Linked DNA regions of Kluyveromyces lactis. The protein of the gene in region 1 interacts with the protein of each later gene in a biochemical or structural test. Links are inferred from orthologs where the notes say so. Each region holds a gene or a part of one and is shown on either strand. Other genes may lie near its edges. The genes, in order: PAB1 and SUP35.

Evidence for each region.
Region 2: the proteins of PAB1 (region 1) and SUP35 form a complex in vitro, tested with the Saccharomyces cerevisiae proteins (3 studies listed by BioGRID). The link is inferred for Kluyveromyces lactis from reciprocal best matches to the Saccharomyces cerevisiae genes PAB1 and SUP35.

What each region holds. Positions count from the first base shown.
Region 1 is NC_006039.1:1,551,617-1,555,706, reverse strand, and holds PAB1 (polyadenylate-binding protein), read right to left. Parts: upstream 2,386-4,090; coding exon 607-2,385; downstream 1-606. Other genes in the region: chromatin-remodeling ATPase CHD1, read right to left, coding at 3,240-4,090. UniProt on the Saccharomyces cerevisiae protein: Binds the poly(A) tail of mRNA. Appears to be an important mediator of the multiple roles of the poly(A) tail in mRNA biogenesis, stability and translation.
Region 2 is NC_006040.1:1,486,170-1,490,356, reverse strand, and holds SUP35 (translation termination factor GTPase eRF3), read left to right. Parts: upstream 1-1,299; coding exon 1,300-3,402; downstream 3,403-4,187. Other genes in the region: heat shock protein HSP42, read left to right, coding at 1-877; ARG82 (inositol polyphosphate multikinase), read right to left, coding at 3,454-4,187. UniProt on the Saccharomyces cerevisiae protein: GTPase component of the eRF1-eRF3-GTP ternary complex, a ternary complex that mediates translation termination in response to the termination codons UAA, UAG and UGA.

The DNA.
Region 1 (4,090 bases):
CATCATCATCATCATCATCACAGGACAGTATACCGTCCATGTTGATGACTGTCAGAGAAAGGTATATAAAGACTGATAAAAAAACCTTTTGAAAATGCGAAAAACCTCTTCATTAAAAAGACTACTAATGTCCTCCCATTAGAGCTTTAGTATTATATAAAACGGGTAGAGTAACAATAATAGTTAGATAGAAAAAATCAGTAAGAAAAAATTTGAAGAGAAAAATGGGGCATACCTCCGGATTGAATTAGCGGTATGGAGAAAGGGTAGAGTGATGTGATGGATTGTGGTAATATGGTATATGTGGAGCGTGGTAATTTTTTTTATTGGTAAAGATTAAAAGCACAACATTTTTGGCAACAATGGAAAGCCTGTGATGAACAAAAAAAAAAAAAGCGAGAGAAAAAGAAGAGTGGCAGAAAGTAGTTTATTTCGACTAGTTTAGGTCTATAACAATGCGTAAGCTAATTAGCACCACCCAGTTCCAATGCGTGAAGCTGAGACTATTCATATAGTTAGCTGTTCGTTTTTTTTTTTAATTTTTCTTTTTCTTCGGGGGAAAGATATAGAAAGGACAAGATGAAGATCAAGGTCAAAAAATCAAGTTTAAGCTTGAGCTTCTTGTTCCTTCTTGAAGTTTTCGTAAGCAGCTAAGGCTTCTTGGAATTGCTGTTCAAATTGTTCGTCGTTGTCCAACAATTGGATGACTTGCTGTGGTGGTAGATCCAAGATCATACCGGTGATCTTACCAGCGGCGTTTTCGTCGTCAATCTTGGCACTGACCTTCTTGTACAATTGTTCACCCAAGGCTTGTCTTTGCTTTTGTTGTTGGATGTAGTGTTGTTGTTGGTGTCTTGGGAATTGGTTTTGAGGTGGCATACCTTGGTACATTGGACCGTTTGGTCTACCAGCAAATTGTTGTGGTGGTGGGACCATACCGTTCTTTGGAATACCGGCACCCATTGGGCCGTTCATACCTGGGTTTGGACCTGGGAAACCTCTTGGGGCCATAACACCATAGAACATTTGTGGCATGTATTGGCCTGGCATACCAGCAGCAGCGGCAGCAGCTTGTTGTTGTTGCTGTTGTTGGAATCTGATTTGGTTTCTGGCTTGAATTTGTTGAGCCAATTGGGATCTTCTGACATCCTTTCTTTGAGCAATGGCAACGTACAATGGCTTACCGGCAACAATTTGTTGGTTCTTTTCGGTCATAGCCTTGGTAGCTTCTTCTGGAGAAGAGAAACAAACGAAACCGAAACCCTTAGAGTTACCCTCTTGGTCTCTCATGACTCTAGCAGAGGTGATGGTACCGTATGGGGCGAATTCTTCCTTCAATTTTTCGTCATCGATGGAATCGTCCAAGTTCTTGATGAACAAGTTAACACCTTGGAACTTAGCCAATTTTTCCAAACGGTATTGTTCGTATTGTTTCTTCAATTCTTCAGCACGTTCGTACTTCTTTTGAGCTCTGCCAACGTACAAAGCTTGAGACTTGAATTCCTTACCGTTCAACTCTTCAACGGCCTTGGCAGCGGCGTTGTGGTCAACAAAGTTAACGAAACCGAAACCCTTTGGCTTACCCTCAGCATCCTTTTCCAAAGCAGCAGAGACAATTTCACCGTATTGGGAGAACAACTGTTCGAACTCTTCGTCAGTGGTTTCAACGTCAATGTTCTTGACGTAAATGTTGGTGAAGTTAGCCTTGGCTTCTTCCAACTTGGAGATACGGTCCTTCTTTGGAACGTGCATGGCAACGTAAACTTCCAAACCGTTCATCAACATACCGTTGACGGCTTCAATAGCATCCTTAGCATCGGATTCTTCCTTGAAATGAACGAAACCGAAGCCTCTAGAGTTTCCATTCTCATCTAAAGCAACTTTACAAGACAAGACTTCACCGAAAGTGGAGAAAGTTTCATGCAAAGCCTTGTTGTCAATGGCTGGGTGCAAGTTCTTGATGAAAATGTTACCAGAACCCTTCTTTCTGATAGCTGGGTCACGTTCGGACCACATAATTCTACATGGTCTACCGTTGATTTCAGCATAGTTCAATTCTTGAATAGCTTTCTTACCAGCTTCGTAATCAGTATAGTTAACGTAAGCGTAACCTAACGAAGCCTTGGTGACGGCATCACGACAAACACGGATCGAGGAAATTGGACCCAATGGTGAAAACACATCGTACAACAATGCTTCAGTAATGTTTGGATCCAATTCACCAACGTACAATGAAGCGTTGTTGTTTTCAACCTTAGAAACAGAAGAAGCTTCGCTTTCAGAAGCAGAAGTGGATGGAGCACTGGCAGATTGAGCTGGTTGCTGATCATCGTTGATCTGCAAGTTTTCCAATTGCTCAGCAGTTTTTTCAGTAATATCAGACATTATGAGATGAGATGAGATGAGATAAATTTAACCGAAAAAGATGGCGGTTGGTTGGTTTTGTAATGTGTTTTTAAAATATATGTTTTTTTATGGTTTTTTAATGTGTATTTTAGTGTATTGTTTTGTTTAATACCCACACAGTTGCGAACCTTTGATGAAACTATTAAGTTTTGATTTAACGATGGATGGAAATGAAAAACCCTTAGTTAACTTGAATTCAAAAAGACTTCTAACTGGAATGTTTTGACTAATATTAAAAAGATATAAACCACGCTTATTCTTTTCTTTTACCAAAAACAATTAAAATACAGGATACAGATGATACCTTTAGAGAGTTTGCTGACTTTGACCGTGGTCTTTTTAAACAAACAAATTGCACAAAATAAAATGTTACAATAACTGAACCAGAAAGGTAATACAAATAAGTAACAAACGAAACAGTATAAACTAACCAAGATAACTAAAAACTTATAACAAATTAAATAAATGAAACAACATCACAAGAACTTATTTAAAATCGTTATATAATTCATCCATCTCTGTGAGAACAGTCCTTAATTGTTGTGATGAGTTAGCCAAAAAGTGAAAATTTTCATTGAAAAATTTAAAGAGTTGAAAAAGAGTTTAAAGCTTTTCCACAAAAGGAAAGGTAGGTACGTGCGAAATGATCTGAGGCATCACCACAACAAACCAGGTATTTTACTAGCAGCCGGCTGTTTCTGGTGCGCCCTTGTGCCTCATGTCATTTATGAAGGTAATAATAACTAATAGCAATATGTTGTTGATTAGATATCTTTTTTTTTTTCGTAAATTGATAGGCGTATATATCTCTATGTTTTGTTACATTTGACTAATTAATGTTCAGAGGCTTTGATTTTGTCGTACATCGCCAGGAGTTTGGAAGATGGGACATCTCTTGGCCAGTAATATGCAGTGAAAGACCATAAATGTCTTTTATATTTTTCTGGAGAGGTCTTAGACGAGTCCTTCTTGTGCGATTCGATGTAGTCACCAACACGTTTCAATTCCTTCTTCAATAGGTTAGCCCATTGCTTACGTTCAAGACCGTCTCCTCCAGATCTTAGACGTTTGAGTGAGCTACGGACGTTTGTCATCGTTTTCTTACACTCTTCTTCGTCCATACTGTCGTATTCTTTGTCAGGAAGACGGATATCGGCTTTTGGTGCCAACGGTATGTCTTTACCTTTCCTCTGCTGTTTTTTCGATCCGACGACAGGCGTACCAGATCTTGATGATGGTTGTTGATGGTGATGGGCCTTGCCACGCTTTGTTTCGGAGCTATTGTCTGGTGTAGAGTCCTTGCCGGTTAAGTTAACACTATTGCCGTCACTTGGGGTACCAGCGGTATGGGCATTTTCGTTCCCATTGCTGTTCCCAGCAGTAGTAGCAGACTTCTTTGGTTTACGTTTGTTTTGCTGAGGCGTCGTGGTTCCGGTTGACGAAGAGCCGGCAGGGTGAGATGGATCAGTTTGGGGACCCTTAGCTTCGTCTCTTAGGACAGTGAATAAGTAATCGACTCTTCTACCGAGATGCACAGCACCGGGAGCTTTCTTCACTGTTTTCTTATTAGTGTTTTCAGAAGACGCCGTCACGATTGGTGTGTTTGCCGTAGTGTCAGGAGTTTCTGTCTTTACAGCATCAGCACCAGGTGTTGAAGACCCCGCAACAGATGCCCCTGGAGCAG
Region 2 (4,187 bases), on another chromosome or scaffold:
TCCAACAACAGCTTCTAGAAGGGCTGTTGGACCAACATCTGGTGATGATGTAGTTGGGGCTCTTTTGAGTGCTTTGGCCGGTGGTAATTCCGACATTTTCAGAGGGGATGCTGATGAAGAAAGTCAGAGACAAGCAACTGATGATGAACAAGAAAACGATGAACAGGAGCAAGCCGCTGCTCTTGCGGCAGCCGAAGAAGCTCTTGCAAATCAATATTCCGAGGAAGAAAAAGAACGTAATGATCAGCAAATAGACGAGGAAACAGCAGAGCAAGGAGAAGACGCTTCTGACGAGTACAACGAAGATTATAACATGCACAATAATGAGGAACAACAAAAGTTGAATAAGACTACTTCCTCCGTTGACAGCGAAAAGGACGTAAACCAAAAGGATAAACTAGCTTACGAGCCCAGCGGTTTCAGATCTCCGGTTCCTGCACCTTTGCAAGTTTCAAACCCAGAATTGAGACTTGATCTACCATTTTCTCCAGAAGTTAACGTTTATGATACTCCCGAACAGTACGTTGTTGTATTGGCATTACCTGGTGCGAACTCGAAGGAGTTTAAAATTGATTTCCATCCTTCATCGCACGAGTTACTGATCAAAGGTGCTGTCGACAACAAGATCGGGATTGATAAAAAGTACGTGAAGATCTCAGAATTGAAATACGGTGATTTTGAAAGATCTGTCAAGTTCCCCGTTTTACCGAGAATTAAAGATGAAGAGATTAAAGCATCGTACTTTAACGGATTGCTTCAAATCAAAGTCCCAAAAATTCCACAAGATGCTAATAAACCACAACCAAAGAAAAGAATTATAATAGAAGATGTACCAGATGAAGAACTTGTGTTTGAGACTGCTCCTCGCAATTTATGAAATCATCCCTGGCTTCACATTGGAAAACTGGTTCAGCCAAACATTTATATGAACAATTGTTATGAATTAAAATAAGATCTCATGTTTAGTAATCGCTTATGTATAATATTAATATTACACGAATACCAGCACCCTCATTTTATACAGTTACATAGAGGAAGAACGGAACGGTTGCACCAGGTTATTGATGCCATATTACGTATTGGGCGCTACAATGGTGTTAGTCTATTTAGGAATATATGCAGTCGTATAAAATTACATCATCGCTAATTGCAAAAAATTTTAAACAGCTTGATAGAGAAGATCGAAAAGTGTAAGAAAGCGTTACTGATGATCATCATGATCCTCCCATCAGCGAATTGCCCTCTATTTGCAAGCTTAAATTGGAACAAGGTACCGGTCTATAGCATCTACTAGTAGACATGTCAGACCAACAAAATCAAGACCAAGGGCAAGGCCAAGGTTACAATCAGTATAACCAATATGGCCAGTACAACCAGTACTACAACCAACAGGGCTATCAAGGCTACAACGGCCAACAAGGTGCTCCTCAAGGCTACCAAGCATATCAAGCTTATGGACAGCAGCCTCAAGGAGCCTACCAGGGCTACAACCCTCAACAAGCTCAAGGCTACCAACCTTACCAGGGCTACAATGCTCAGCAACAAGGTTACAACGCTCAGCAAGGCGGTCACAACAATAACTACAATAAAAATTATAATAATAAAAACAGTTACAATAACTATAATAAGCAGGGTTATCAAGGTGCTCAAGGATATAATGCACAACAGCCAACCGGTTACGCTGCTCCAGCACAGTCTTCATCCCAGGGTATGACTTTGAAAGATTTCCAAAACCAACAAGGCAGTACTAATGCAGCCAAGCCAAAGCCTAAGTTAAAGTTGGCCTCTAGCTCTGGTATTAAGTTAGTAGGTGCCAAGAAACCTGTAGCACCCAAAACTGAGAAAACTGATGAATCCAAGGAAGCAACTAAAACTACCGACGACAACGAAGAAGCACAATCTGAATTGCCCAAAATTGATGATTTGAAAATCTCAGAGGCTGAAAAACCAAAAACTAAGGAGAATACCCCATCTGCTGATGATACTTCCTCAGAGAAGACTACCAGCGCTAAGGCAGACACATCTACAGGAGGAGCGAACTCCGTGGATGCTCTAATCAAGGAACAAGAAGATGAGGTTGACGAAGAAGTCGTTAAAGATATGTTTGGTGGTAAGGATCATGTTTCCATCATTTTCATGGGTCACGTCGATGCTGGTAAGTCAACAATGGGTGGTAACTTGTTATATCTGACTGGTTCTGTGGATAAAAGAACCGTTGAGAAATATGAGAGAGAGGCTAAAGAGGCTGGTAGACAAGGTTGGTATTTATCATGGGTGATGGATACCAACAAAGAAGAAAGAAACGACGGTAAAACCATTGAAGTGGGTAGAGCGTACTTTGAAACTGAAAAGAGACGTTACACTATTTTGGATGCTCCCGGTCACAAAATGTATGTTTCTGAAATGATTGGTGGTGCATCTCAAGCCGATATTGGTATTTTGGTTATTTCTGCTAGAAAGGGTGAATATGAAACTGGTTTCGAAAAGGGTGGTCAAACTCGTGAGCACGCTTTATTAGCCAAGACACAAGGTGTCAACAAAATGATTGTAGTTATCAACAAGATGGATGATCCAACTGTGGGATGGGATAAGGAAAGATATGATCACTGTGTTGGTAACTTGACAAACTTTTTGAAGGCTGTGGGTTACAATGTTAAGGAGGACGTCATTTTCATGCCAGTGTCTGGTTACACAGGTGCAGGTTTGAAGGAACGTGTCGATCCTAAGGACTGTCCATGGTATACTGGTCCATCTTTATTAGAATATCTTGACAATATGAAGACTACTGATCGTCATATCAATGCTCCATTCATGCTTCCAATTGCTTCTAAGATGAAGGACATGGGTACTGTTGTGGAAGGTAAAATCGAATCTGGACACATTAGAAAGGGTAACCAAACTTTACTAATGCCTAACAGGACCTCTGTTGAAATTCTGACCATTTATAACGAAACTGAAAGCGAAGTTGACATGGCTGTTTGTGGTGAGCAGGTTAGATTAAGAATTAAAGGTGTCGAAGAAGAAGAAATTTCTGCTGGTTTCGTTCTAACCTCTCCAAAAAACCCAGTTAAGAATGTAACGAGATTTGTGGCTCAAATTGCTATTGTCGAATTGAAATCGATCATGTCTGCTGGTTTCTCGTGCGTTATGCATATTCATACAGCTATCGAAGAAGTCACCGTCACAAGATTGCTTCACAAGCTTGAGAAGGGGTCAAACAGAAAATCAAAGAAGCCTCCAGCATTTGCTAAAAAGGGTATGAAGATCATTGCCGTTATCGAGACTAATGAACCGGTATGTGTTGAAACATACGATGATTACCCACAATTGGGTAGATTCACTTTAAGAGATCAAGGTACCACCATTGCTATCGGTAAGATTGTGAAAATCCTTGAAAATTGATCTCGGTTTTTATGAATCCATATCACAATGCATATTTACTAGGTGTCTAGTCTAGATTGTATATTTAGTTTTTAATCTTTCAAAAATGTCTATAAGACTTTCAACCCCGTCAAGTACATTGTCATCTATTCCTAATCCTGGGGTAAATTTGGTATGTGCAAAATCTATTATCGACATGCGACTCAATTCTGTCTTTCCTGATATGCTCTCCTTTGACTGTCCATCTTTAATGGACCCTTCCTCATCCGAATCATATGATACATGGGACGGTATTAATTCTTGTTCCTGAGAGAAGTTGATCCACCGAGTAGTATCGCATTCATATATGAATAGAAGGCTACTTGATATCATGCGAACCTCTTCATTCAATAGCGTATTATAGAAAAGCTGAAGCCTTTTTGAAAACATGTGAATCAAATCATTACGATTTTGGAGTGAAAGATTATTATCGCCAAAGTACAAATCAAATGCGTCCGTTACATTCGAAGCTGTCAACTCACGACCGTAATATTTATTGACAAAAATATACCCATCATCTTCCGGTTCATAATACTTCGAGTGTAGTTCTTGGACATTTGTGTTTTTTAAGATATTCATACCACATATTCTAAACCCTAAAGTCCCAGAAGTTGATGTCTTACTTACTTCATCTAATCTTATTCTTTTCTCTTCACTTGCTGCATCATCCCACAGAACATGTCCTAACTTGATATCCAATACGTTTGGTCGTACATATCCGTGCAATAGATTTTCCATAACTAAGTAAACATTTCCATCGGTTTGTG